4 linked regions of the Tamandua tetradactyla genome follow. The protein of the gene in region 1 interacts with the protein of each later gene in a pairwise test. Links are inferred from orthologs where the notes say so. Each region holds a gene or a part of one and is shown in the gene's direction. Other genes may lie near its edges. The genes, in order: IPCEF1, CYTH4, CYTH2 and CYTH3.

What was found.
Region 2: the proteins of IPCEF1 (region 1) and CYTH4 interact in binary tests that used the Homo sapiens proteins (3 or more experiments, as listed by UniProt). The link is inferred for Tamandua tetradactyla from reciprocal best matches to the Homo sapiens genes IPCEF1 and CYTH4.
Region 3: the proteins of IPCEF1 (region 1) and CYTH2 interact in binary tests that used the Homo sapiens proteins (3 or more experiments, as listed by UniProt). The link is inferred for Tamandua tetradactyla from reciprocal best matches to the Homo sapiens genes IPCEF1 and CYTH2.
Region 4: the proteins of IPCEF1 (region 1) and CYTH3 interact in binary tests that used the Homo sapiens proteins (3 or more experiments, as listed by UniProt). The link is inferred for Tamandua tetradactyla from reciprocal best matches to the Homo sapiens genes IPCEF1 and CYTH3.

What each region holds. Positions count from the first base shown.
Region 1 is NC_135328.1:146,556,463-146,564,250, reverse strand, and holds the start of IPCEF1 (interactor protein for cytohesin exchange factors 1), read left to right. Parts: upstream 1-4,786; 5' UTR 4,787-5,287; intron 5,288-7,788. UniProt on the Homo sapiens protein: Enhances the promotion of guanine-nucleotide exchange by PSCD2 on ARF6 in a concentration-dependent manner.
Region 2 is NC_135333.1:29,589,123-29,596,022, forward strand, and holds the start of CYTH4 (cytohesin-4), read left to right. Parts: upstream 1-3,898; 5' UTR 3,899-3,996; coding exon 3,997-4,015; intron 4,016-6,900. UniProt on the Homo sapiens protein: Promotes guanine-nucleotide exchange on ARF1 and ARF5. Promotes the activation of ARF factors through replacement of GDP with GTP.
Region 3 is NC_135342.1:12,587,066-12,594,583, reverse strand, and holds the start of CYTH2 (cytohesin-2), read left to right. Parts: upstream 1-4,504; 5' UTR 4,505-4,630; coding exon 4,631-4,745; intron 4,746-5,058; coding exon 5,059-5,206; intron 5,207-5,291; coding exon 5,292-5,358; intron 5,359-6,398; coding exon 6,399-6,517; intron 6,518-6,795; coding exon 6,796-6,876; intron 6,877-7,307; coding exon 7,308-7,420; intron 7,421-7,518. Other genes in the region: KCNJ14 (ATP-sensitive inward rectifier potassium channel 14), read left to right, coding at 4-600. UniProt on the Homo sapiens protein: Acts as a guanine-nucleotide exchange factor (GEF). Promotes guanine-nucleotide exchange on ARF1, ARF3 and ARF6. Activates ARF factors through replacement of GDP with GTP.
Region 4 is NC_135349.1:5,669,618-5,677,143, forward strand, and holds the start of CYTH3 (cytohesin-3), read left to right. Parts: upstream 1-4,509; 5' UTR 4,510-4,643; coding exon of another isoform or gene 4,644-4,647; coding exon 4,648-4,690; intron 4,691-5,653; exon of another isoform or gene 5,654-6,258; intron 6,259-7,526. UniProt on the Homo sapiens protein: Promotes guanine-nucleotide exchange on ARF1 and ARF6. Promotes the activation of ARF factors through replacement of GDP with GTP. Plays a role in the epithelial polarization.

The sequences.
Region 1 (7,788 bases):
GGTGGATTGTGGATTGATGAGAAAAATCTTCCTCTCAAATGTAAACACTATAAATTGAAATTAAGTTCATGATTTATTGAATAAAAGAAACTCAGCACAGCTAGGAGAACTCACAAACAGGAGTAAATATAGCATATCTCAGGAAGCTTTCCTTACTCTCAGAATTCCCAGTATGGATGTATAGTGACTGGGGACAATATCTGGTCAAGGCACAGTTTTGCTGCATCTAGAAGTTTAAAGCTTTTCATACTAGGGGCTTATATCACTATTCAGGAAGAACTTGTCATCCAAGAAGTAATATTTCCTTCTGTGGGAGCATTAATTAGTAGATACTGTTAGATGACCATCCACTATCCATCTGCCCCTTATTTTTACTAACAGAACTCCTATTGTGTTTGAGACATCAGTATACCCAGCTAGTAACTATAGTTCCTGTTCTAGTTTGCTAGCTGCCAGAATGCAATATACCAGAAATGGAATGGCTTTTAAAAAGGGGAATTTAATGAGTTTATAGTTCTAAGGCCAAGAAAATGTCCCAATTAAAACAAGTCTATAGAAATGTCCAATCAAAGGCATCCAGGGGAAGATGCCTTGGTTCAAGAAGGCCAGAAGGCACCTGGCAAACACAGTCAGGGTTCCTCTCTCGGCTGAAAGGGCACATGGTGAACACAACGTCATCTGCTAGCTTTGTCTCCTGGCTTTCTGTTTCATGAAGCTCCCAGGGAGGCATTTTCCTTCTTTGTCTCCAAAGACCGCTGGCTGGTGGACTCAGCTTTGTGGTGCTGCAGCATTCTCTGCTCTCTCCGAATCTCCTGGACTTCTGCAGATACAGTATATATACTGAATTGATGTATGTTGCTGTTTTATCCATAGCTATGCATCTAAGAATTAATGGGTGGAAGTGAGAGTGGTACGTCTTATTACTACAATTACTGACCACTGGCAGAGTTTTACTTTATCCCTCTGACTTTGGTCTTGATGGATGTAAAGGTACTAGAATTCAAGGAAAGAATTCTTTCTGCAAGGATTACAATTATTGTTCATTGAATTGGAAGCTGAGTTGACTGCCACTAGGCTATTTGGGGTCCAACAGGATGTACAGGTCAAAGGGTTTATTCTGTTTGGATGGGAGACTGATCCCAATTATCAAGGAGTTAGCTGCTGCATAATGTAGGCAGAAATGAGGTTGTGTAGAAACCAAGGAATTCTTTAGAGCACCTTCTAGTGCCCAGTGATAGAAGATAAAGATTACAGAGTCACATTGATGGTGAGACCATCAATAACTTAGAGTATCTTAGATTTCTTTCTGCGTAAACGAGGCAGAGTAAATTCTATAGTTTGTAACAGGCACCCCGACTGATAACATTACTGAATTTCCGTGCCCCTGAATCAAATTCAGTGCCCTGAAGTCCCATTTTCACCCAGGGGAGATGGCATGGCCAGTGTGCAGGTCACCCAGGTTGAAGTCTCTGCCTCCTGATCTCCAGCATGCCAGGACTCATACTTCACACACTTACTCTCTTCTTTCCTACTGCAGGGTAACTTCAAGTGCTGGTGACCGCTGGGTTTTAGATCCTATTTAAGACTGAGCAATACAGATCAGATCAGATATTGTAAGCAAGTGGGTGGAGCTTGTCTACTGATAGGTTATCCTCCAGCATATGCTGAGTGACATTCTAGTGCCAGAAGGTAGAGTTTTTGCTCTGGAGCACCCATCCCCACATAAGCTATCTGTAGTCCCTGCATAATTTCAATTTATTTATAGATGAGTCCTCTGGCCTAGGGTGGAGTGACATGGCTGCCTGACAGGATCCTATGGGTATGGTTAAAATCTTGGCATATAAAAATGGTGTGAAAGAGGAGCATGGGAAAGGGGCTAGATTTTTACAGACTTTCAAGTAATCTTCCTGTTTTCAGTCCCATCACATATTCATATTTGCTGATTTCTTGTAGCTTTTTGAGTCCTAATCATCTTGGGTATGCTGCCCCACAGATGAATAGTTTCTTCCTCCATAATCCTTTCCTTAATAACACTATGCCGTGGTTCCCTATTTACCTTCATCGGTCATTGCTCTCCCTTCAGCTTCCCATCTTCTAGAAATCTGGTCAGATCTGTCCAACTCTAATGATCTCACCCCAATTTTGTTTTTGTTATTGTGGGTTTCTATCTTTTTTATAGTGCTCCTGTCAATTTTAGGGAGGTCTTGGGAGGAAATGGAAGAAGCAAGGAAAGTCTGTAGTCATTCCGCCACCTTGAACTACAAGCCAGCCACCTTGAGGATTATTCAGTTCTACACATCAGGTTATCTTGGCTCAGAGAATTAAGTGGCTCCAGTCTTGATCCCATACTTATAAATAACATGTACTTTGATGGTATCTTTGATGATGGCATCTAAAAGCCCAAAGAGAAACAAGTCTCTCCTATTGATGTCTGCAAGTGTTCCTTCAATATCTAGTATTCTCTGGATGCTACATAAAGCAGGGAACTAGAAGAACAACTCAATGCAGGGAGAAAATGAGGTGACGCTTATCAGAAATAGAGGCTTACACAAAAATGAAACCATGTTTCTGGTCAAAACGTGCAGCATCTTCTTTTAATCTTTTCACTCTTCTACAGGTATAATTTTGATCTCCTTATGAAATGAATATATAGAAAATGAGAAGCTGGAGACCAGGGACTGAAGTAGTTTCCAACTATTATCTATTCCCCAAAGGTAACTAACTATTTTTCCCAAATAGTGGCTTTATGTATATATACCTGTTCCTCTGCTCTGCCAACAACAGTATTTATTTTCAGTGCAGTTTTTATTGACATTTGGGTTGTGAAGTATGGGGTATGTTTGGATGTAGACCATGTTTAATCTATAAATTAAAAAAAAAAAGAGCTTCTGACCATCTAAAGCAGAGACATAAAACATGCCATACAGAGGATTTCCACTTGGCTTTTTAAATGTTGCCCTTGATCTTTTGCCAGTTAAATTGCAAATCATGTGACACTGGTTTCTGTCAGGAATGCCAGATGTTACAAACACATCATTAAATTAGGAAGCTCTAAGGTCAACGGAATTCTCTACTCAGAATGACCCTTTTCTTCTTTCTCCCAGTCGTCTGCCTGCCAGTAAAACAGACCTTCTAATTGCCTATGGACAAAGCTATCAGGCTCACAAAGCAAGATGGAAGAAGTGATTTGCTTTTGCATTATGAGACATTGGTGGGAGCCACAGGCAAGGCAGCCCTGCCGGGTCATTCTTAGGAAGGAGCAGATTCATTGCGTGTTGAGAGGAGAAAGACCAAGTGTCAGGCAATTCTGATCCAGGGAATTCTTTTTATTGAAATTGCATCAGCTCCCTTCCAGATGCTAAACTAATTTTATAGTTTAGTTTAGGTTTTTGTTTGCATGTTAATGTATCTGTTTCTTGGACATGAAATGATAAGGGTCATTCAGTTTTCAGGTGTGTTCTGTGAGGTTGACTTGGACATGAAATGATAAGGGTCATTCAGTTTTCAGGTGTGTTCTGTGAGGTTGATAATAATTAGAGAGAGCTGCAGGCTAATTTAATGCCTGGATGAAAGTCTCAGTTTTTATTTCATTGGTATGACTGTATAGATGATTTTACCTTTAGACTGGTCTTCCCTCTTATTGTATTTGGCTTGACAGGGGCAACTTGATCTTGGAGAGAAGTCTTGAATACTGGGTACACGGGTAGTTCAGAGGTTAGAATGCCCGCCTTTCATGCAGGAGACCCGGGTTCGATATCTGGACCATGCCCCCCCCCAAAAAAAAAATAAATAAATAAAAAGTCTTATATATTTTGGTAGGCCACCATCTAAGATAGCCCCCTGTGATCCCCACCTCTGGGTATTCGTGCCTTGTATCATTCCCTCTTAGTGAGGGTACACTGGCCTTAGTGACTCACTTCTTAGTGACTCATAAAGAGAATATGGCAAAAGTGACAGGATATCACTTCTGAGATTAGGTTACAAATAACTGTGACCTCTGTCTCATTCTCTCTCTCATTCTCTTTCTCTCTCTCTCTCTCACTTGCTTGCTCTGGCTTTGTTGTCAGTTGCCCTTAGGAGAGGCCCATGTGGCAAGGAACTGAAGGTGGTTTGGGGCCAATAGCTAGAACTGAACTGAAGTCCCCAGACAAGAGCTCATGAGAATCTGAATCCTATCCATGACCATGTGAGTGAGCATGGGAGAGGTTCATTCCCTGGGTGAGCCTCTGGATGACTGCAGCCCAGCCAACAGCGTGATGCCACCTGGTGAGAGACACCAGCCAAGCCATGCCCAGATTCTTGCAGAAAATATAACATGATAAACACTTTTTATTTTAAGCCTCTAAGTTCTGTGGTACTCTATTATGCAATGACTGAGAAATAGTGTGCATGCTAAGGGTACGGCTCCCACATTTAGAAAGATTGCCTTGGTTATGAGCCCATTGCTAATGATTTATTTCCTTTTCTTTGAAAGCAGGGTATAAATGAATAAGACTGCATTCTTTCCCCATGGAGGTATAAAGAGACAAGAGCTGGAGTTGAAAAGGGGGGTTTATGGTAGGTGTGAGGCAGGTGGCAGGAATTTAGCAGAGATAAGTTCAAACATCTCTAACTTTCAGTCTGTTGTTTTCTTTTTCTCCTGTGTGAAAGAAAAGCTTTGAAGTTAGAGAATTTATTGTATTTACTGCAGAACAATGGTGGGCTAAGACTTAATTTTGTCTTAAAATGCCTTTTAGAAATTTATTCTTACCTTGTTTATTTAGTAAAATGATTAGGAGACCAGAAAGGAAGAAAACTCACATGGAGATGAGAACATGAAAGAGGTCAATGATATGTGAAAAAATGTCATCTCACCCTGACATGATGGGAACAGCTCTGCAAAGGACTTCATTCTCAATGCCTGTAAATAAACAGCTTTACCCTCAAACAGGAAAGTGAAGCCATGGAATGTTTGTACCTCTGTTCTGCCAATGGATACACTGCATAGTGTTTAGTGATAGACAAAATCAGTCAGATAGGACATGCCCACTTTGCATGCATTGTGTCCTAGGTGTTGGAATCAAGGAAGGGCTCAATAACAATAAGAAGGAAGAACAATAAAATTGAGGAAGTAAGATGGCACTTCCTCTTCTTTCGTAAGAGTTTTATTCTCTGGTCAGCTTTGAATGGCAGACCTGTGTAGACTGAGCCTCCAGAGCTCTAGCTGCTTAGAGTGGAATTCTATTATGAATTTTCTGAATTCAGGGATAAAACAACAGCTCTCGGATTTACTCTCTTCTTATTGCATGTAAGTAAAACCACTCCTTGACTAATGCATGGGAAGTAATTGGTTGGCATGTTGAGATAGAAAAGCAATTGATACCCTAACACTATCTTTAGAATAGTGAGTTCTGAAATGTGGTTCTTGGGATATCATATTTGCGTAGCTCTTCATAAATCCACTGCTGTTATGTGCTGTGTTAAAGGCATTTTCTAACTTTGTTAAAGCTTAGAGGGATAGAGTTGTGTACTTACTGTGCTTCTCTCTTTTTCTTAAATGGATGTTATGTTGATAGCTGTTAGAACTGCAGACTGTGGGTTTGATTTAGGGACGCACAATTCAGTGTTTGTTTGGGTCCTAAAGAGTTCATTTTGAAAAACATTGCGGCTGCCCACTTTTGAGTAATGTGCTTTTTGTGGAGAATCCCCCTTTGTATCAGGCAGCTGGAGGGGATTTTACTTTTCAATAAAAGTCACAGGCTTGAAAAAATATGAAAAGGAAAGCTAAGGTGAGGCAGGTACAAGGCTTTTACCACAGGCCTTTAGGGTGGTTGGTTTTCTTTGCTTGGGTGTATGTGAAAAAAATTTTAATTAGAGGAGTTAGAATCACAACCCACTAAGACATGTTTGATTATAGAAGTGGACTTTCTAGTCTTCAGAGGCTTCTGTGTTCCTAGTACTGTCCTCTACCCTAAAAAGGCATAGGCAGAATCCTCTGGAGGTATTAATTTTACATTGGAAATTGAAACACAAAGAACACAGTTTCCTTTCTGCTCGTATCATGCAGTTGAGGAGGAAAAGGAATTGTTTGCATATTTGTTGATGTGCCCACTCTTTGATTTACCTTTTAATTTTTTTTCTTTCCTTCTCTTTATATATCAAGTGTCTTTTCTAGAGAGAGTCCACGTATAAATTACTTCAGGCAAGTGGCGTTAAGCAAGCGTGCATCATTAGACTATGGAAATAGGAAGTTCTTTCCTGTGGTAGTTTGCTGTGGCAATAAGAGATAAGAAATTACTTCATGGCTATTGCCTGAGACTTTCCTTTTGACTTGAGTATCCTTCTTGAGCTGCTCACTTCTCCTTTCCATCCACCTTGGAGGCTGGGCTGTGTGTGCTGATAACCAGAGCACAGGCTAACAATTTGCAAGCAGATGTAACATGGCTGTGGGTATGTGTGGGTGTGTGTACATAGAAAATCCTAAAAAAGAAAAATAGGCCTTTTGGTGTTGAAGAAAATCCTGCAAATGCAGAAATTACTGTACCCGCGGGACTCAGAACAATGCCTGACGCATCTTATACTTAGTAACCATTTGTTGAATGAGTGAATAATTAGGATGTTCATATACTGAGTGTGGTGGGGGTAGTCATTGCTTTATTTCTCTTACCCAGGAGGATTTGGTAACATGTAAGGGGATGGGGGAAGAGGTCAAAGTGAAGCAGGAGAGGAGGAGAATATGAGGGTGTGAAAAGAAGAAAGACTATGCAAAAGAGAGATGATAAGAAACCCTAGGGTAGAAAAGTGGAAGGGATGGCAAGGTGAGTCGTAAGTGGTGTCGGTGGTGTTGAAAGTGGACATATTGGTGTTGAAGGCAGTGGGGGTGGTGGTGGAAGTGGTGGAGGTAGAAGTGGGCAGAGGTGACAGAGGTGACAGTAGAAATGTGGTGGTGGAGGTGGTGTTGGAGGAATTGCTGGAGATAGTGGTGTGTTGGAAGTGATGGTAGAGGTGGTGTTGGAGGCGTTGTTGGAAATGGTGGGAGAGGTGTGTTTTAGTTTACTAGAGCTGCCAGAATGCAACACACCAGAGAGGGATCAGCTTTTAATAAGGGAATTTATTTAGTTACAAATTTATAATTTCTTCAGAAGAAAGGCAGCTGGCTTTCCCCTAAGTTTCTCTGTCACATGGGAAGGCACACAGTGAACATTTGCTGGGCTTCCCTCCCAGCTTCTGGGTTCAGTCGGCACTCCTGGGATGATTCCTTTTGACATCTCCAAACGTCTGGGTCAAGTACTGAGATGAGGTATGCTGAGCTGCTGAGCTCTTTTTTGACCTCTCTCTTTTAAGCCTTCAGCTAATTAAATTAAATAGTGTCACTCATTGTTGAAGGCACTCCCTTAGTTGACTGCAGATGTAATCAGCCATACATGAACTTCATATGCTGATGATTTAAGTCCACAACAAGAGAACAATGGGGCGTCATCACCTGGCCAAGTAGACACCTGAACCTAACTATCACAAGTTGGTAGAGGAGAGATTGGTGGTGGAGGTGGTAAAGATGGTGGTGGTGACAGAGGTGGTGGTGTTTGAGATGGTGATAGTGGTGAGTTTGGGGAGGGGAGTGCAATACAGCAGGGAGAAAACCTACCTTTGGTGTCAGACACCTGTTCAAAATCTGTATGCACCACTTACAAGTTGTATCACCTCTGAACTACTAGAAGGGGGTGTTTATAATATAGTCACCATTTTGGGCTGTTGTGTGAGGATTAGAAATATGATTGTATAGTGCCTGCACTTCATGGATCTTCACTA
Region 2 (6,900 bases), on another chromosome or scaffold:
CTATACATACCATCTTAAACCATACCTAATTTCTAAATAAAAAACAATAAAACACACATTTTTCTTTTACCTAACAATACTCAATGGTCCTACATATAACTGGAAACACATTAAATCTCTCCAGAATAGGGTACAAATCCTTGGGTAATATTCATTCTTTTTTTTTTTTTTTTTTTTTTTGTACATGGGCAGGCTCCGGGAATCGAACCCAGGTCCTCTGGCATGGCAGGCAAGCGTCCTGCCATTCATTCTTAAACTTGATATCTTACAACTTAAATAGTATAACATAAACAAAACAGCATTACAGTCCTCGTTTCTGTAACTGATCACATACTCAAAGTTCATATTTATCACTACCTTCTTCCACTACCCATTCCATGTTCCCTTTACCCTCAGCAAGCACTTCAACTGGCCGTGGTTCTTTGCCTGGTGGGGTGACCCAAATCTTCATTCCTGAAGTTTCAGGGCCATTGGTAGTCCTGCCTGGATTGGGTTGTTGCAGTTTTCCATTGATTTTAATCACAGGGCATGGTAGTACTAACAGATGCCCTAGGGGATCTCCTATATTCCAAGAAAACTCTTCTTTACCTCCATTGTGTAGTTGCAGTCCTACTTCCCCCTGATAGTCAGAGTCAATCACCCCAGAAAATAATATAATCCCCTTCTTGGTTTGTTGATCCAGTGGCATAAGTAGCCCGAAGTGACCAGGTGGCAGTCTTAACTTCCAGTTCAATGGAATCATTGTTGTTTCTCCTAGTGGAAGCACTCCCCACTTTGGAACTAAACCTGTAGACCAGCAGAGCTCAAGGTTGCAGGGACAGGAAGCAAAAATTTTCCTAGTGGATCACTAGGGGTAATAGTGAGTGGTACCACTCCCATTTCCACCCCTTGATTCCTGGACCCATGGATCCTGGCTATGGGAGAAACACCATACAGCAGACGCTGATTCAGAGCATATGCAGCTTCCTGGAGAACATTATCCCAGCCTTTCAAGGTATTGCCACCTAGTTGGCACCATAACTGAGTTTTCAAAAAGCCATTCCATCATTCTATCAATCCAGCTCCTTCTGGACGATGGGGAACATGGTAGGACCAGAGAATTCCATGAGCATGTGCCCATTCCTACATGTCATTTGCTGTGAAGTGTGTTCCTTGATCTGAAGCAGTGCTGTGTGGAATACCATGACGATGGATAAGGCATTCTGTAAGCCCACGGATGGTAGTTTTGGCAGAAGCATTGCGTGAAGGGAAAGCAAACCCATATCCAGAGTATGTGTCTATTCCAGTTAGAACAAATCTCTGTCCCATCCATGAAGGGAGTGGTCCAATGTAATCAACCTGCCACCATGTAGCTGGCTGGTCACCTCGGGGAATGGTGCCATATCGGGGGCTGAGTGTGGCTCTCCACTGCTGGCAGATTGGGCACTCAGCAGTGGCTGCAGCCAAGTCAGCCTTGGTGAGTGGAAGTCCACCCATATACATGGAGAGGATGAGTTTACCCTGAAGGGTGAGAATGAGTCTCCCACCTCGTTGTAGTGGAAGAGTAGTGCAGCCTCAGGCCTTGGAGAAGGTACAGCACACTCCTTGGGGGACTGGGGAGAGCCTGGCTGCCACCACATGGAGGGGTTGAGTGTGTGCCCCAGAAATGGCAGAGAGCCCAAGGGTGGCCCCGATGCCTGGAGAGAGTGGAAACAAGAAAAAGGTGATCTCCTCAACGTTCCCCAAGGTTGATTTGGAAGGAGGCAGGCCACTGCATAAGCCCTTGGAAAGGGTGGGACTGCCACCTTCTAAAGCTGAAGGATAAATTACTTTCAGACTTTGAAATCCAGTGGTGTTTGCCCTGTAGATTTTCCTTCCCATTTCTCCCTATAGATCTTGTGACTGTCCCTCCTTTGCATGTTGGCACCAGACAACTTGTTTTGAGATTCACAGGTCCGCAGCCAGAAGAAAATTTTTTGCACCTTAATATTGTTTAAGGTGATGCATGAAGTTGCCAAGTTGACAAGGGGTAGACAAGTGGAAGTTAGATTCAGTTGTCAACTTGGCCAGGTGAAGGCACCTAGTTCTGTTGCCGTGGCCATGAGCTAATGGTGCCTGAGGCTCATCTGTTGCTGATTACATCTGCAGTCGGCTAGGATGAGTGCCTGCTGTAATAAATGACGTTTGACTTAATTGGCTGGTGCTTAAATGAGAGAGCGCAATGTAGCACAGCCCAAGCAGCGCGGCATACCTCATCTCAGCACTCACAGCTCAGCCCAGGTCTTTGGAGATGCAGAAAGGAATCACCTCACAGAAAGTTGTTGGAACCCAGAAGCCTGGAGGGAAGGCCAGCAGAGATTACCCTGAGGCTTCCCACATAAGAAAGAGCCTCAGTTGAAAGTTAGCTGCCTTTCCTCTGAAGAACTAATGAAATAAATTCCCTTTTATTAAAAGCCAATCCATCTCTGGTGTGTTGCATTCCAGCAGCTAGCAAACTAGAAAAGATTGAGAAAGGCTTCTCGACCAAAAGGGGGAAAAGTGAAATGAGGCAAAATAAAGTATCAATGACTGAGAGATTCCAAACAGAGTCGAGAGGTTATCCTTGGAGGTTATTCTTACGCATTAAATAGATATCACCTTGTTATCCAAGATGTAATGGAGAGGCTGGAGAGAACTGCCTGAAAACATGGAGTTGTGTTCCAGTAGCCATGTTTCTTGACGATGACTGTATAATGATATAGCTTTCACAATGTGACTATGATTGTGAAAACCTTGTGTCTGATGCTCCTTTTATCTACCTTATCAACAGACGAATAAAACATACAGGATAAAATTAAATAATAGGGGGAATAAATGTTAAAATAAATTTAGATTGAAATGTTAGTGATCAATGAAAGGGAGGGGTAAGAGGTATGGTATGTATGAATTTTTTTTCTGTTGTCTTTTGTATTTCTTTTTATGAATTAATGCAAATGTTCTAAGAAATGATCATGATGATGAATATGCAATTATGTGATGATATTGTGAATTACTGATTATATATGTAGAATGGAATGATCATAAGTTACGAATGTTTGAGTTTGTTGCCATATATTTTTTTAATTAATTTTAAAAACTCTAAAGAGAAAAAGAAGATAGAGTTTCTTGAGCACCTGCTACATTCCAGCACCTTATACACATTATCTCACTCTGTCTCTTACATAATTCTGAAGTGAGAATAATTATTCCCCTTTTATAGATGCGCAAACTGAGGCCCACTGCAGGTCAGCGTCTTGCCCAAGTTTACACAGGTCCTGCGTGGCAGAGCTGAGAGTCAAACGGCTGAGCCTGACCCCAAAGTCTACATGCTTTAATAGAACAGGTATAAATAAACATCAGATTTGCCTGTGAGTTTCCCAGCAGCCTAGGGGGAAAGGGAAACTGAACACATTACCCAATTGGTCACTAGACAAGAAAAAGGCAGACATTTCTTTGAGAGGAAACAGAGCCCTTCCTAGCACTGAATTCGTTTTGTTTTACTTTTCCCTCAGGTGGAAGTTGGTGAAGGAAATTCTGTGGACCGGAATACCCGGGGTCAGGCTTGACCTGTTCAAGTTGCATGGTCTGTTGGCTTATATGTAGGGGGGGTTGCTGCATAAATGTGTATTGCGTCCTAGAGCAGATTCTGTCTGCTAGTGGCTGTCACACTCTTTGTGAGTGTTTTTCTCTCTCTGTCTCGCTGCCTTCTCTTTTCCTCTCTCTCTCTGTCTCTTTCCTTTCTATTTCTCCCTTGTTTACACCCAAAATGCAAAGGACCCAGGCTACTCAAAACTGCTGGTTTTTAGGAAGTGCTGCTGCGTGGAGAGCCTGCGCGGCAGACCCCGCGGGCCGGGCCAGGACTTCCTCCCCACACAGGGCTGGGCGGGGCCGCCAGACAGGGTCTGGCAGTGGGGGTGACGCATCCCTGGTGGCCAGTCTGAGCAGCAGCTGGGTCGGCAGACCACAGTAGCACGGCCACCTTTCCCTGGGGGCTTCAGAATGGACCTGTGTCAGCCAGGTAAGCGCCTGGAAGGGCAGGGGCTGCGGGGAAGGCTGTGAGTGTGTAGGTGCGTGCAAGTGACAACCTCAGCTCCATGAGGAGGACAGTGGACGGGCAGGGGGAGTCCGGAGGGCACAGGCCGAGACATACCTCCTGTCGAGCACCCCTGTCCCCCGCCAATGCTCAGCAGGACTGACAAAGTTGACGCCAAAGGGCCTGCAGAGAAGACTGGGGCTGGTGGGGACAGAGGCTCAGAGAGGCAGGAGGAATCAAATTTAGAACTTTGCAACGGGGGCTCCTGCCACCGTCCTTCTACCTCCCAGGCAGTGCAGTGAGAAACGGTGGACAGTGGGAAGCTGCGTGTGGAGGGCTGAGAGGGGTTCCACAGGGACAGGTGGCACCTGTGAGGAGGATCCCAGCACTGTGCCCGGGGTAGACCAGCTCTTGGAGGGGAGGGGATGGCCAGTTTGAGAGGGTGAGCATCCTCCCAGGAGGGCATTGACATGGGGGAGGTGGGAAGGGAGGGGCACATGCCCAGGGTGGGCATCCCAGCCCCACATTGGGAGTCCCAGACTGCATTTCTCGGCCCGGGCCTCCATTGCACCCCTCCCCCAGACCCTCACAGACCCAGGCTTGCCCCACCCCACCTCCAGTCAGCTTTGGGTCCCCTCCCTGGACTCTGCACTCAGAGACCTGTACATGGGGGAGTCCACGGAGTTGGGGCCACCCTGAGCTCCTCGGCCACAACGTGCACCAAGACAGGCCAGGCATAGGACAGAGCACTCAGCACTCAGGGCACAGAGGTTGGGGGCTCTGTGCAAGCCCACCTGACCCTGGGGCTCAGCATCCCCACCTGTTAAGGGGTAACCTTGCCCTCCGTTCCCTAGAAAATAGTCTTTCCCATCCAGAAAGGGTTGGCAGTTGTCTTATCTCATGTGAGCTTCGCAGTCTCTATAAAAAGGTGGGGGCAGGAACTGTTGCTTCGTTTAACAGAAATGGAAACTGAGGCTGGGCAGGTAAATAGCTTGCTCACTGCTTCATGGGCAAGAGGGAACCAGGCCCCGGACACTGGTGGGCTCTTCTGACTTTGGACTGGCTTGGACCTGGCCAGGGGGTTTCTTCAGTGGCCTCCAGGACTTTTGAGACCCCAAGGCGACTCTGGGCTCCCAGGCCTGGTCATAAGTCCCCTCCTCCACTCTCTCGCTGTGTGATCCTGGGTAAGACGGCCAACCTCTCTGGACCTCAGTGTCCTCTTCTGTAGAATAGGAAGAATGGTGCCTGCCTCACAGGATCCTGGAAGGATTAAATGTGTGAATTGATGTAAAGTATCTGGGAAGCCCAACAGCTCCAGGTGGGTGTCAAGCTGTGTCCCAGTTTGGGGTAGAGCTATTAACAAATCAGGCAAAATGCCCCCTCGCCCTCATGGGCTGGCTCTCCCGGGGGCGGGTGGGGCAGGAGGATGGACAATAAATCTGTTCTAATATGTCAGCTGGTGATGAATGTGGTGGACAAAAGTGCAGAGTCTGAGGGAGGGGAGGGAGCAGCCCATGTGGTTTCTGGAGAAAGAACCTTCCTGGCAGAGGGGACAGCCAGCACGAAGGCCCAGATTTGGGACCGAGACAGGCTTCTTGTGTAATGGTGATGATGGTGTTGATGATAGTGACATCTGTCTGGTCGGTGCAAGGGCCCTGAGGCCTTTTGGGGAAGCCAAAGATGCTGCTCAGAGGCAAAGGAGGGGAACTGGAATGAGAAGGGGGAGGTGGGGGCTGGGGAGAGGCCGTGGCTGAGAAATTCCCCAGTTCTGTGGTGAAAGAGGAAAAAAGGCTATGAAGTTGGGAGAGAATGGGACAAGGCTGTGTCCCTATGAGGCAGAAAGAAGGGCTGGAAGAGGGACATGTCCCTGCATCCTGAGTCTCAGAAGTTTCCAGCATTGCCTGGAATTCCAGAACATAAGGGCTGGGAGAAGCTGTCCAGTTCCTGAAGTTGAGATGACTTCCAGTTCATTTAGCAACAGTACCCTTTCTTCAAACGAAATGCAACACAGACTGAGCAGTTCTGGCCCCATCTCTGGACGTCCCACCCACCACCTCCCATGAAGTAGACCAGGGAGGGCTCCAGGGAACACAGTTAGAGAAACACTGGCCCATTTCAAAAGCTCCCGTTTGACAGATGTGTCAGAGGAGGCCGAGAGAAGGGCCACACCCCCTGTCCCCTGACGCTCTGTCCAGTGCTCTCTCCCTGACACCCCTGCTTCTCCTGTGGCCTTTTTGGGGACAGATGGCTCAGACTGTACAGCTCAGTGAATGTGTCTTAGGTGGGTATTAGGAGGCGAGAAGAGGCCCAGCAAGGGGCTGTGTCTGGGTCAAGGTTACTCAGCAGATGAGTGGCAGAGCTGACGTGAAGGTGAGATGGGGCGGTGATGACATCCTGCTGAGAACTGCCTCCCCCCTCCCACGGCCTGTCTTTCCACCGTTATTGCTTCATTCTTCTGCAGTTTAACAGGCTGAAGTCCTTAGGACCAGGGATGACTGTCCCCATGATGCACATGAGGAAACGAGGCCCCCAGAGGCCTGGCTTGTCCAATGTCACATAGCCAGGAAGTGGCAGAGCAGGGACAAGAACCGGTATGCTGGAAAAGAAAGAGCCCGAGGTTCGCCTGGCCGTAGGAGAGAGAAGGGAGGGGAGGGGCCTCCAGGGAAGGCCGGAAGATGAGTCACTGCTGTGCTTCACACTGGCCTGAGAGAGGAAATGGACTGGGGGCAATGTAGGTGGTCTGTTGGAAGATTTGGGTCTCCGATGATTTGTTCGTTTGTTCATTCATTTGTTTTATAACCCATCCTGGGTGTCCAGGTCCTGTACTGGGCAATGCTGGGGACAGTAGGGAGCCACTGGTGCAGGACATG
Region 3 (7,518 bases), on another chromosome or scaffold:
CAGCCCCGCGTGACCCCAGAGGGTGAGTACATCCCGCTGGACCACCAGGATGTGGACGTGGGCTTTGATGGCGGCACTGATCGCATCTTCCTCGTGTCTCCCATCACCATCGTGCATGAGATTGACTCTGCCAGTCCCCTGTACGAGCTAGGACGTGCCGAGCTGGCCCGGGCTGACTTCGAGCTGGTGGTCATTCTCGAGGGCATGGTTGAGGCTACAGCCATGACCACACAATGTCGCTCGTCCTACCTCCCTGGTGAGCTGCTCTGGGGACATCGTTTTGAGCCAGTCCTCTTCCAGCGTGGTTCCCAGTATGAGGTTGACTATCGCCACTTCCATCGCACATATGAGGTCCCAGGGACACCTGTGTGCAGCGCTAAGGAACTGGATGAACGGGCAGAGCAAGCTTCCCACAGCCCCAAGTCTACATTCCCTGGCTCTCTGGCTGCGTTTTGTTATGAGAATGAACTTGCTCTGAGCTGCTGCCAGGAGGAAGATGAAGAAGAAGAGTCCAAGGATGCAGATGGGGCAGAGGCAGAAGATGGGGCTGCCAGCCCCCGAGTTCTCACACCAACCCTGGCAGTGACTCTGCCCCCATGACACAAGCTGGTGTTTCCACATTTGTGCCCCCTTCTCAGAGGCAACGAGATGGAGAGATGGTGCTCTGTTCTGGGATGGGGGCAGATGGTTCCCCAAGGCCGACAGCCCCTTGGGTAAATTATTATCTAGGTAGACCCTGCCATGCCTGGTGGATTCATCATGGATATACTGGACCTTCATCCCTCTGTGTTCCATGCTTCCATCTGAGACTCCTTTATGAGCCTGAGTCTCAACAGATCAGAGGAATCCAGAATTCTGGACCACTCAAGAGGCAAAGACTAGTAGTTCTAGATTCCTCTGGCTGGCTGTCCCAGGTTGTTGAACAGTCAAGAATCAGTGGTATTGACTACCTCTGGGGGAGGAACTTAACAGTTCTCAAACAGCAACAGGGAACAAGAGTTTGTAGGTCTGAATTGACCTAAAACTCAAGGAACTGTTGTTTCTAGACTCAACCAAATCATGTGTTCTCCAGCACCCAAGGAGAGAAGGCTATGGAATGCCCCAAGTAGTCAAGACTGTCTTGAGTGATGAGAGACAATGACTGAATATCTGGACTGTAAGTCAAGACCTGTGGTTCCAGAAAGCCCAAGAGATGAGATTCTGTGAGTCTAGCTTGATCAGAGAGGGAAGCACTGGTGATTCACAACCAGGTTTGACCTAGAGAGTCAAACCACTCCAGAAATTCAAGAGTTATGTTTCTAAAATGCACAAAGCAATGGAGAGTCTGTGGGTCTGGAAGTACTGAAATGATAGATTGGCAGTTTTTGATATTAGTTAAACTCCAAACCACTGACTGGCCAACATCCAACCAAAAGGATAATCACTGCTTCGGAATGACTCAGAGTTTGTTTTTAAAGTATCATTCTAGATTGCCCAAAGGAATGTGGATTCTGCAGGTCCTATTGATCACACAGTCAAGGAAGGAGTGGTGATTTTGATATACTGGTTCTGGTTTGCCCAGTGGTATTGAGAATCTCAATGATTCTAGATTGTTAACTGATAGAGCAAACTTCTTTGTGGTTCTGTAATGCCAAAAGGAATCGAGGCTTCAGGGATCTGGAGTTGCCCATTACCAGAGGCCTAGAAATTCTGATCACCTCCAGATGGAGTGCTTGGTAGTTCTTGGAGGTGGGCCCAGGAATTGCTAAGCAGAATTTCTGGGCTGTCCAAGAAGATGAGAGCCCAGGTGAAACCTTGTAGGTAGCAGGGCTGATTAACGAGTAAGGGAAGGGGGAGACACAAGGCTGTTGAGTCTAGAAAGCTCTGGAAACCTACACCTAGTGATGTATATCTATTTCTTAAAGATGTTATACATATATGTATTATATATATATATGATATATATTTCCCCTCATTCCTACAACAAGGTTAGAAATTGAGCATGAGCTAATTGGAACCGAGTCCTTACAAGGATCTGGGAGGCTTTGCTGTAAATCTCAACTTAGCACCAACTTACTGTGTGACCTAGGGCAAATAACTCCCCTCCACATCAGTTTCCCCATCTGTAAAACAGGGCATTGAAACTTGACATTCTCCAAGGACCCTTCCAGCAGGATGGCTTCTCATCTTACTGAAGGTTGTGGTGGGGGTGAGAGTCTCCCCAGCCCTGGAACGCTGAGATGGGAGATACTCATGGAGACTGGCTCTGAACTTGGTATCTAAGTCACAGGGCAGACGGCAGGCGAGGGGTATGATGTGGGCTGTGGTCCAGGGCCAAAATCAACACTTCCCCGGTCCAGCTTGCTGGGTGGGGAGGGGCTGGGGAAGGAGAAAGGGGTAGCTCTGATGCCAGCGCTCTTCCCACTGTGGGGGAAGCCTGTGTTTTAGGGGGAGATCTGTCCCTCAGATTAAAGAACTGGGAGACTTGGTGGGTGTGTCTGTGAATGTTTCCGGGGCACGGGTCCTCAGGCTTGCCCTTCTGCCCATGTTCCCATCTACCTGAGTGCCCCGGAGGCTTGGAGCCAGCCACAGAGGGAGCCAGGGCCAGTGAGAAGGGCACCTCGCACCCCTGTGTCCCAGGACTGAAGACAGGCACTGTCATTGCCTGTCAGCCTGCTTACGTGTTGCCTCAACCCAGGCCCCAACTTCTGGCCTCCCCAACCCCCTCTCATCCTTCGGTAATAACCGGATGGGATTAATTAGTGGGCTGCTCTCTCCCAGCCCAGCGTGTCTGAGGTAGGGAGGGGCACAACGGAAACACAGAGGTGGGCAAGGGTATTAAGATGGTAGTGAAGGGAGGGGGTGTGTCTGTTGGGAAAGAGAGAAGGGGGCAGGGCTGGTACGACCGGGGTCTCCACTGGGGGTGTGGGGGGGCAAGGTCTGAGCCTCTCAGAAAGGTCAGCGAAGGGATTAAGAGGCTCCGTGTCTAATCCGACAGCTTAACCAAGCCCTGGCCCTGAATCCGACCCCACTTGCCCAGCCCAGGGGCGACCAATGAGGGCGATGCTCAGACAGCACCTCAGCCCCAGTTCAGCAGGGCTCAGCTTCCCCACCGGGCCCGGACGTTGCACCGGCTTTCCCAGCAAGGTATGGGAAGGAGAGGCTGGGGAAGGGAGGTGGAACCGTCTCAGAGGAAGGAAAGGACTCGGAGGGAGGAAGGATGCTGAGAAAAGGGGTGTTTTCTTACGGGGGAGGATGCTAAGGGGAAGGGTTTGGAGGAGGATGCTAAACTGGGGGGGGAGGAGTTTAAGAGGACGCATGGAGCATTGAGGGGAGGGGAGAGGGGGAGAGCCTGAGGAGCAGAAGGGGCCAGGAAGGCGCAGCCTGTAGCCTCCTATTGTCTCAGTCTCCAGGACAGATCCCCAATAGCAGAGCATTTAGGAGAAAGAGCTGATGACTACGCAGGAGGGCGTAAAATAAATAAATAAATAAAGAGGGTGTGGAAAGAGGAGGGGCCTGAGAGGAGAAAGGCCATAAGGAAGGTGAGCCAAGCGGCACCCGGTTGCATGGCAACCGCTGAGGTCAAAAGCAAGCCTAGTCTGCTAGGAGGTGTGGCTCAAAGGAACAACCGACAGCTGTGGCCCCACCCCTTGGCAACAGACCTAACAAAAGTACCACCCCAACCACCCCCCCACCAACAATTCATTACTAGAGGCGGGGCATGGTTGAACAAGTCTTGTGTCCAGAGCCCGAGCGCAGGCGCACTTCTCTAGGTTCCCGCACATTACCACCTCCATGCAACTCATTTCCAAGGCTTCTCATTGGTGGGCACTCCTGCAAAGAGCATTCTTTTGCTCCGGAGGCGGGGCCTGGCGCCCTGACCGCGCTCCGATTGGCCCCACCGACCGTCTACCCCCAGCCCGACATTCCTATCTCAGCTCCTCATGCGCCCATTGGTGCTGGAGGACGGTCCTTCGGTGTCGGGGGCGGGGCAAACGAGAGGCCACGCCGTGGATTGGACAGTGTCAAAACGAGGGGCGGTCCCTACCGGCGGGGCGGTTGGGAGGCGAAGGGAGAGTCTTTTCAGCGCTGAGGACTGGCGCTGAGGAGGCGGCGGTGGCTCCCGGGGCGTTTGAGCGGGCTCACCCGAGCCCGCGGGCCAACGAGGATCCCGGTCCGACCGGCGGCACCGCCCCGGACTCCCCGCGGGCCTTCCTAGCCGCCATGGAGGACGGTGTCTATGGTAGGTCGGGGAGGGGCGGGGCCGGCCGGGAGCGGATGGGGCGTCTGGTCCCAAGCGTTCCGCGGCGGGTGTCCCCCACAGCCCCCGTCCGGCGTGCGCCGCCCCAACTGCGCGGCCCCGTCGTCGCCCCGCTTTTGTGGAGTGCGGGACGGGCTTCCGGCGAAGCCCGAGAGCGAAGCCTTCCAGGCCATTGTTTGGGCTGAGCCTGTTTCCGGTGGCGGCGGGAGGGGGCGGGATGGAGCGGGGAGGCGAGGCCGGTCGAGCCCGGTGCCTGCCGGGAGCGGGGCGGGGAGGAACCTTCGGGGCTTCGCAGGGCCCGCGGAGGCGGGGGCGGGGACCCCCAATGCCCCGCCCCCCGGTCCCAACCCCTACAGCCTGTCACCAGCTGGCCCCGCCTTAGCTATTCCCATGGACCCGGGAGTCCGGCTGCCCGGCCCCATCTTCGCTCAGGACCGGAGAGCCCGGGCCCCCGCCACTTCGCCAGTAATGGAGTCAGAAAACCAAGGCCTCAGCCCCCTCCCAAGTAATGGACCTGGAAGTTCGGGCTCCCGGTCCCCCTCTCTCTCAGACCCAGGAGCCCGGAGTCCTCTCCTTCCCCAGCACTTCCTTCCCTAGATGGAAGAACTCAGCCTCCAGCCCCTTCCTCCTTCAGACACCAGGCATCCCAGCCTCCCAGCCTGCCTTTCCTCAGACACAGGAGTCAGCACCCTCATTCGTATTCTCCCCCAGGACCTAGGGAGTCCTGCCTGCCCCGAGCTCCATCCTTCCCCCAGATTGTAAGAATCCAGGTCCTGGAGCCCCGAGACCTGATCTCTGCCCTTGACTTCTGCCTGTAGAACCCCCAGACCTGACTCCAGAGGAACGGATGGAGCTGGAGAACATCCGACGGCGGAAGCAGGAGCTGTTGGTGGAGATCCAGCGCCTGCGGGAAGAGCTTAGCGAAGCCATGAGCGAGGTGGAGGGTCTGGAGGCCAATGAGGGCAGGTGAGGGCTGGGACTGGGGCTGTGGGGGCCTGGGCTAGAACTGCCCAGGTACTGACCCGCCACCCCCTACCCTCTGCCCCTGCAGTAAGACCTTGCAGCGGAACCGGAAGATGGCAATGGGCAGGAAGAAGTTCAATATGGACCCTAAGAAGGTGCTTTGGGACCTTGGGAGCTGGGATCCATTTGGGGGTTCTGGCACCAGCCTGTGGAAGTGTGATGGTTACAGACAGGTTTACTGTGGGTGGTTACACACTGGATCCTAATCCCTGGATTCACGTATTCATTTGTTCGTTTGTTTATTCTGTAAACCGTAACCAAATGGTCCAGCCTCCTTGCCTTTGCTTGGGTTGTATCCCTGCCTATAAGGGCCTTTTCTCCTTTCTATTCATATTTCTGAACCCACTTTTGGTATCACCTTAGATCCTGAGAGGAGCTTGAGTCTGGTAGGGAACATGGACAGGACCATGCACAAAGGGTTAACCAGTACTGTGACAGAGGGAAGTACCAGAGCTGCAGACACAAGAAGGGAGCCTGGTAGAGTTAGGGAGGGCTTCCCTGAGGAAGTGACATTCCAGGCAGTTTTGACTGATGGTTAAATGTTCGTGGGGTGAAGGAAGAATGTTGCTTCAGTCCATCATTCATTCAGCACCCATATCTCAAGGCCTCCTATGGGCTGTCTCTGCCCTAGGCGGTGTCAGAGATCTCCCCAGTTGTTAGACTCTGCCTGACCCTCAGGAAGCTCTTGACACAGCACCCACACCCAGAGCAGTGGATCACGAGAATGGAGATCCTCATGGTGCAGGAAGGGCCAGAGAAGCCCCAGCCCAGCCTGGGGCCTGGCCTTCAGAACCCTTAACTGTCTGCTAGCAGTTTTCCCTTTATTATTCTTGCCGAAAACAATTGTAGTTTGTCCCAGTCATTCAAGAAGCATGTATTGGGTATCTGGTTTTTTCGCTTGGCCCTGGTTTTAGTGCTGGAATTAACCAGCAAAGGCAGAGGGAATAGCAGATGCAAAGGCCACGAGGGCAGGGAGGTGATGGAAGGACTGGGAGGAGCCTGAAGGGGAAACCTGGCCCTTCCCTGTTTGGGGGAGGGGGAAGGGGTTCCTGGGGGTGTTAACAATGGGCAGGTGGGCTCCACCACCACCAGGGTGGTCTAGCCCCAGCCCTGAGACCCAGCTCCTACCTTTCAGGGCATCCAGTTCTTGGTGGAGAATGAACTTCTGCAGAATACACCCGAGGAGATCGCCCGCTTCTTGTACAAAGGCGAGGGACTGAACAAGACGGCCATTGGGGACTACCTGGGGGAGAGGTGAGAGCACCTGCGGGTCCTCCCTGTCCCCCATGCCCCCAGCTCCTGCCCTCATGCAGTCAAACTAGGGTTCTCAGCCCATGACCCTGCCATGAGCATGTGCTGAGCACTGCCCCCACCCCCAGCCCCCTGGTGCCAGGTCTGCAATGGGGGCCGGGCAGACACTGCCCACACTGTTTGGAAGCAGCCACTATCTCCCAGGGCTTTGCTTCAGGTCTCCTCCCACACCAACCTCCCCAAACTCCTTTCTGTTTGTAAATCTGTCCCTGTCCTCCTAGGGAAGAGCTGAACCTGGCGGTGCTCCACGCCTTTGTGGATCTGCATGAATTCACCGACCTCAATCTGGTACAAGCCCTTAGGTGAGGGCGAGGGGTTGGGAGGGCAGGTGTGCATCTATTGGGACTTTCTGAGTTGCAAATTAATTACTCATGTAATGACTACTTAAGGTGCTCAGAGGGTCAGGAAGTTAACTTTAGCTCCTGGTTATGCTTCCCACTGTGTTGGCACTGCTCTCTGCAGACCCTCCTCCCACATGAAAACAGAAGTTTCTAGCAACCATTAGACCTACAGAGCAACCTCAGCAGAAAAATAGAAGCAGTTGCTATATAAGTCCTTCAAAATTCTCAGAGGTGGTGCTCATTAGTCAGATAATCACATATCTATCCTTGAAACAACTGTTGAGTCCAGGAGAGATTTGGAGTTCTTATTGGCCAGTTCCAAACACAGGTACTGACCGTGGGGGAGGGGGTCCTGCCAGCCCGCCATCCATACCCGGCCCCTCCTCTTACAGGCAGTTTCTATGGAGCTTCCGCCTCCCTGGAGAGGCCCAGAAAATCGACCGGATGATGGAGGCCTTCGCCCAGAGATACTGCCTGTGCAACCCTGGGGTTTTCCAGTCCACAGGTGGGAGCCCGGGCTCCAGGGTCTGAGGGAGGAAGGGCTGGGGGCCTGGCTCCTCCCCTAACTGGGTCAGAGAGGAGGGGCTGGGGGCCTGGCTCCTC
Region 4 (7,526 bases), on another chromosome or scaffold:
CAGTAGGTCAGGGACAGACTCTAAAAATGAAGAACTAAATAAAAATAACCCAGCTTTTTATTACTTGTGTGTAATAACTTAATACAGGTACTGCTTTGAATGGGTATAGTCCTTTTCTTCCAAGCACAAAGAGCTCAAAATGGTGGTTTAACTTCATTTTTCCAAGTTTACCACTAAAGGAACTTGTGCTTGCAAAAAGGCAAGTTGCTAATCAATCTAAAAGGAATGAACCTGCCCTTGGTAAGGGGAGGCCAGGGAGCCGGTGTCAAGAGGGCGGATTCCAGGGAAACCGAGTGCAAGGCAAGCCACATGGAACGAATGGAAGGGGAGCCTCCGCACACATTGGGGATCAGAAGATCTGGGCGTTTGAAAATCGAATGAGCTCTGACCCGAGGCTTGGACCTCTGCTATTTGTCTGGGTGGAGTGGAGACTGCCAATCTGCACAAGCTCATCTCCACTCTGATGAGATGCTTTCTTTCCTAGATGAAATTAGATTTCGGAAAATATGACGTTCCTTTCGTGACCGTGAGCTGAGAGCAAGCAGGCGGCTCTGTGTGCCTTCCCCCGAGTGGACCAGACCTCTGAGCAGATGTGACAGATTAGCTGAGGTTCCCATCTGCTGAAGGTCACTGCCGTGTCTGCATTGCTTGACCGTTATCGAAGGAGACAGGAACTGCTCTGTGCACGGTCTGGGAGCAGCCGTAGCTCATGCAGCCCGGACGGCCTCTTTCTGGCCAAGCACAAGGAAACTGGCCTTGGCAGGGTTTTGCCTATGGTGGCCCTTAGTCCTGGGAGAGGAGACTTCTGTACGATTTCACGGACGTCCGCTTGAATGAGGGAGATGAACGTGCAAACGAGAAGTCTTTTTCACCTTTCTCAGAATGTGCACATTGAAGGTTTCTTAAACTATTTCTGCAACAGTCAGAGGGCTGATAAATGGGTTTCAACATGCTTTCAAAAGGTCTCTCACTTTTGATTGCCTTGTTAGTCCAGCAGCTGCCACTAACACTGTTGTTTCTCCCTTTTCTGACCTGGGTAGTCCCTGCAGTGGGTGGCAGAGACAAATTAAACACAGGCCACAGTCTCTGTCTTCCCCAAGGAGCTGCAAAAGTGCAAAGCTGAAACACACGGAACAGGCAATACTCGGAACAGGCAATACTGTGAGAAAGTCTTGTGGGTAAGGTAGGGTAGGGTATCAAAAATTACAATGAAACAATTATTTGTGAATTATTTGCTTAATGACTGGTGCTTCTGGGCCTGGCCATAAGTCTCATGAGGGTATGGAATGATCTGTCTTTTTATTGTCATATTCCCAGCACCTAGGACAGTGCCTGGGATATAGAAATGACCTAAATATTTATTGTCTGATTGAAGGGTCCCAATGAGGTTTGAGGTTCAATACTTGTTATCTTGGAGAGATGTCTGTTGCATAAATTGTTTCCCTTAAAGATTCACTTATAAAGAGTTCAACCTCCGAGTAAACCACTCATAAGCCAGACATAAAGTGATGGCCTAATCTTAGCGGACAAATCAGGATTCTTAGTGTTCCTATGTGTGGGGCAGCGTGCATGTAAGCAGATTGGATTTGTGCTGGGATTTGAGAGAGACCAGGAAGCACCTTTCCTTAAAAAAAAAAATCTCATTTTCCCATTAGATATTATTTTCTTTGGTTGTGCAGGGTCTAAAGTCTTCTAAGTGCCCCTCCCTGTAGTTAGATGTATAAATGACACCCTAAGACTTTATTCCCCCTACATTTTTACAGGCTTTATTGAAATGGGGCCCAGATTTAACTAAAGGGATAATATAATATTCTACTTACAAATAAATGGGCTATGCCTTATTTTGATACCAATTAGATTAGATGGAGAGGGCGACATTATTTACAGGGACTTAGTAAGATCAAGGCAAAGGCCTGGGCTTCTCTGGGTCCAAGGACATGGTAGCTGAGAGGCACTTTTGGCAGAAAAGGGCAGCTGCTTGTAGCTTAGGGAGGAGTGAGCTAAATCCTGTGTTCTTAAATCTTGAACTTTAATTTAAATCAGAATTTTCTGCATCTGTTTCTTTTCCTTTAAATTTACTGTATTGAGGGAATGAACATATATATATATGTAACATAAAATTTGCCATTTTAACCTTTTTTTTTACCAACATTTGCATTTTTTCGAAAATTTGTTACAATCGATGGTCACAGTTTTTTGCAATTACTATTTTTAAACTTTTTTATTGTATGGTATAACATATATACAAAGCAAAGAAATAAAAAAGTAAGTTTTCAAAGCACTCTTCAACAAGTGGTTAAGAGTGGTTAAGAGCCACAGTTCATCACGGGCTACCATATGGTCCTCTCATATTTTTCCTTCTAGCTGCTCCAGAATATAGGAGGCTAGAGGGCTTAAATATTTTTTTATCATCACAGTCGACTTTTTTTCCTTTTTTTTTTGTGAAAAATAACATGTATATGAAAAAGGTATAAATTTCAAAGCACAGCACCACAATTAGTTGTAGAACATATTTCAGACTTTGACATGGATTACTATTTTAGCCATTTTTAAGTTGTATACTCCAATGGCAATATATTTACAATGTTATGCAACCATTGCCATCATCCATTACCAAAACATTTTCATCACCCCAAAGAGAAACTCCGCACCTATTAAGGAATGACTCTCTGCTGCCCTCCATCTCCCTGGCCCAGGTCAATTATTTATATTTCCATTGCTATGAATTTGCGCTTTCTGGATATTTCATACAAGTGAAGTCATACAATATTTGTCCTTCTGTGTCTGGCTCATTTCACTCAAAACAATGTCTTCAAGGTTCACCCCTTGTATAGCAGTATCAGAACTTCATTCCTTTTATGGACGATTGTGCCTGTTTCTTGAGCCAATTATTAACTTTTTACAGTGGTCATGGTTGGATGAATTCTTTCCAGAAAGGAGACAAGACCAAAAAGGGAATCTTTAGGTATCTTCATTGATGCTGTGTTCTGGAGGTCAAGAAACGTTTGTTTGCTTGGAAGTGTTTGGCATAACTGTCAAGAATTCCACAATTGGAATGGAATAATTCAAACTCTGTGAGAAGCATCTATGGATCACACGCCAAGGGACCTAAGGAATTAGGGACTGACATTGACAAGCATTTATAATTGACAGTACTTTTGAGTTCAAAACTCCACATATCACCCTATCATATTATCCAGTTCAAAATATGCTGTCATTTCCCCCCGGTCACTGTGTAGTTATCTCTAAGATAAAGCTGACAGGAACAAGATCAGGAAGCCAAGTTTGTGGGCTGAGTCTTGAACCTAAGTCTTTTGACTCCCTTTTCTGTTACACATTTGTCACATAAACTGCCAAATATCTTATCTGCACCCAGAAGTGTCCCCGAGGGCTTTAGAAATGGAATGCACGTGCTTAATTCTTGAAATTTTCGGGAAATTCAACTCTAACTTCTGGAATCATCCCAGGATCTCCAGCAAACGGTCCATTTTAATAGACGACAGTGGAAAAGGGATCCTTGGATTCAATGAGTCATTTGTGAGGATAAACAGTTACAGGAAAATTTTATTAGGTAGACTCCATCTCCTCCATTACAGTGTTTGCTTTTCTTTAATGCAATTAAGCTCATGCAAAATGAACAGAAAGGCCTGGGTGGGGCCCACACCCAATGCTGCGGGGGAGCAGGGGCAGTAATTAGGAACGTGAAAGATGTGGAGCAGAGACAAGCTGCGGTCTTCTTCCTAGGAGACCAGTGCTTAGGACCCTGGCTGTGCCCCCGGGGGGAAAGTGAATTGAGAGCTCTCTCTCTCATCTCTGTGCGTCTGCATCATAAATCCAGGGCAGCTGGCAGCTTTTCAAGGCAGACTAGAGCTAAACTCCAAGGGCATCTGAGGCTGAACTGGCCAACCTCGTACAGTGCCCGCGCAGGGCTGGGCACAGGTGTGCCCGCTCGGGTTCCCACCTAGCGACAGCGTTCATTCACAAGCCTTACACGCTGTTCATGTGAAAGTGTACGCTGATCCCCAGGAAGGGAGAAGAGGCTCCATTACGCATCAGAGAGCCGAAAAGGCTGCGATGATCCTGAAGGCCGGGGAGACCTAAACTCTCCTGGGCCGCAGGTCGAGGGTCTGACTTGCGAGCACTTGCCTCACCTGGTCTTTTTCCCCGCCTGCACGTGCAAAGAGGACGCCCCCCCCCCCCCCCCGGCCACGGGGATTTGCAGAATGGGGCATTGCTGCGTCTCGGACCCCACATCTGTGCGTAGGTCGCCTAAGGCGGGGAGGCGCGTCTCGATGCCTGGTTCGCCCTGGAGGACCCCCACAAGCCAGAGCGGAGGCGAAGGCGCCCGGGCGGCGGGCCCACGCGGACTGGGCTGCGGGCTCGGGCGGGTTCCCGGGGGCGGGGCCGCGCCGTCTGCAGCCCCGCCCACCGCACCCGGGGGCGGGCCCCTCGGCGTCACGTGACGGCGGTGGCGGCGGCGGCGGGCGGCGCCGAGCGCGAGCGCCCAGCCCGGCCCGAGGAGGCTCCGGGCCGCGACCCCGCAGCCTTCTACGCGCGCTCCGGACCGGCGGTTCCCCCCCTCCGCCATCTGCACCGCGCGCCCCGCCGGCCCGGGGCTCGCCGGCTGCGGGAGTCACGTCAGGATGGATGAAGACGGCGGCGGCGAGGGCGGCGGCGGTGAGTGCCGGAGGTGTGGCCCGCCCGGCCGGCGGCCTGGGGCTGAGGGTCTGGGACGGGCCCGGCGGCGGCGGCGGCGGCTGGGGTCCGGGGTCGGCCTGAGGAAACAGGGCCGGGGGCAGCGCGGGGCCGGCTGGAGACCGCCCGAGGCCCGCGACGCGCCGGGCCCGGAGCCCGAGCCGGGGGGTGGGGGGCGCCGGGGAGGAGCCGGCTGGTGTCGCCGCCGAACCCGAGCGGGGGTCCCGGTGCGGGGCCGCCGGGGAGGCTCGGGCCGGGGCTGCCGGGTGGCTGTTTTGGGGCGCGGGGCCCCCGGCGCGCGACCTTCCCCGCATCCCCTCGCCAAGGGCGTCCACGCCCTCCGGAGCACCCCCCTTTCTGCCTCATTTCTCGGGGAGGCCGGAGGGGGACCGAGTCCACGGGGAACGGGCAGGAGGAAAGTTTCCAGTTGGGGACCCTCCCTGGGAAAAGAGGGGAGGGGGCTAGAGGACTACAAGGAATGACAGTTTTCTTGGCTTTGGGGTCAGACGCGGCCGCTGGAATTGCTTGAGGAGGGGGCAGCGAGGGGACAGGTCTGGACAGGCGTTTTGTGAAACCGTGACCGGTACCGAGTCGGCAATAGAAGGAGTCGCCTGGGCTGGGGGTCGGAGTGACGAGCCGCGGCGGGCAGCCGAGGGCGGGACCCGGGAAGCCTTTTCGGGCGCCTCGGGCGGGGAGGAGAGCGTCCCCGAAGCGGGTCGGGTTGGGGTGGGCACGGCCATGGGGTCTGCGTCCGAGGCTCACGGGCCTGGTGCTGGAAGGCTCTCATGTGTTTGAGATTATCTCGGTGGAATGCAACGCTCAGTCGTGTCGGGGCACGGGCTGCTGCGAATTGCGAGTCTGCGCAGGGGGTGGGTTCTTGTTTTGGCAGGCAAAGGGTTAATGTTCCTTTTATTTTATTTTTATTTTTTTCCGGAACACCCGGAGTTGCGATCCTCTATACTTTTGCTAAAGAGTACCTTTTTTTTTTTTTTTTTAATTTAACTGGCTGACCGAAGTTATCCGAACTCCTTGTAATAAGGAGGCGTTTTGAAAAATCCTAATTACAGGCTGCTCAGCGGTTGCCTGTAAGAATCAGCTGCATCGGATGCTTCGGGATGAAGTGGTTTAATCAAGGTGCCTTCTAGAACTTGAGTGCTCCCGGGAGGGAATTGGTTTTTTTTTTTTTTTGCAGAAAGAAGCAGTGCGGCGGCGGTGGTGGGAAGTTGGCACGAGTGGTGGCATTTGGAGAGTTGGGTTCTCCGCGTGAAAGCGAGGGCCGGCTCTGTGACACCAAGTGGGTGTGTTGTTTATGAAAGAAAGTGTTGTGGAAAGAAGGAGCCCCGTTGCAAAGCCTCCTCCAGCCAGGCTGGCTGCCTGAAGACAGGATCCGGAGCGAAGGATTCCCTGTGGGTGCAGTCTGCCTGTCACAATGTGAATAACCCCGCAGGCAGAGCAGGTTTTCCTTCTCAGAAAGTAGACAGAACGACCGTGATGTTTAAACCTTTGACATTTTCGAGTCCGGGAAGCTGGCTTGGCGATTTTGTTTGCAATTTGCTTTGGACTCTGAGTAAAGAAATGTTGAAGAATTAATTTAGCATTTTTTGAAATACTTAGCTTTAAAATTTGTGTTTTTAAAATAAAGTTCAGCCCTTTGAAAGATAATTTCAGTTATCAGTCAACTGTCAGACAATTGTGATTGTAAAAGACAACATTTTTTGCATATTTTTAGAGTACGATACACAACCTAGAACAGTATTGGGGGTGTCAGTTTCAGCTTTGTTTAAAAAAATAATCTAGTCAAATAGCTGTTATTGCAGAGGCCAAAGACAATTTAAAAGGTCTTTGTGAACGTGTTGGTCAGATTTAAAAGACTCCAAAATTTGATTCCTGCTTACTGCTTTTATAATTTAATTTTTGCCCAGGATGTATTTATTATATGTTCTTTCAATGCAAGATAAGGAGAGAGGATGGTGATATGAATGGTTGGAGTGCAGTTATAAGGAGGAACAAGTGGGGGCTGCGAGATTACAGGAACGCATTGTTAAGTATAACGTGTGCAGAGCATAGTTAAGGCATTTTTAGTTCCTTTGGGACTCGCCTTTCAGTTTTAACAGAACAATTCTTGAGATATGTCTCTACTAGGAAGGTGACTGGCTGGTTTGGCAAGGAGCCACCATCTTAATGACCAGTTTTGGAATATGCTTGAAGTTCCTAATGGACCATCCAGGGCAGGTGCTGTTAAATGACCTTGCTGCCTCCCACCTCATTAATGTAGATAAGAGTCAAGTTTGTGCCTCACTTGAAAAGATGTTCAGCTTCCCTCATTATGAGATAAATATAAATTAAAGCTGTATTGAGTCCCGCCTTTCACCTATCAGGCAGTGCCCCCCTTCCCCCTGGTCTGCAAACTGCCCGCTTGCGAGGCAGTCTCGTTGCTGGTGGAGGTGTAAGTTTGTTTCAGCTTTTTGTGGAAGCAGCTTTGGCCTCTATCCTTTTGGCCTTCAGGTCGTGCCTTGCCCTTCTCCCAGGAGGAGGGTAGGCTGCATTTCCCGGACCTGGGGTAGCTGGCTTCGGCCGAGTCTGGCCGGAGGGAGCCCCCTGAGAGGTTGGGTGGCAGGAGGAAGGGAGAGGCTGGGTTATTTTTCGTGTCCCCTCCTTCAGCCTCAGACAGCGGCTCTGGCAGGTGCCTTGCTTCTTTCCTGGCTCCAGCTCCCACTACCAGGTCCTCTGTGTTTCCATTTCTGCCCAGCGACCCTAACCCCCAACCTTGGAAATCTCCTCCCCTTTACAGGTGGTAGCAGCGTCTTGCTATTGCTAATCTCTGGGTTGTC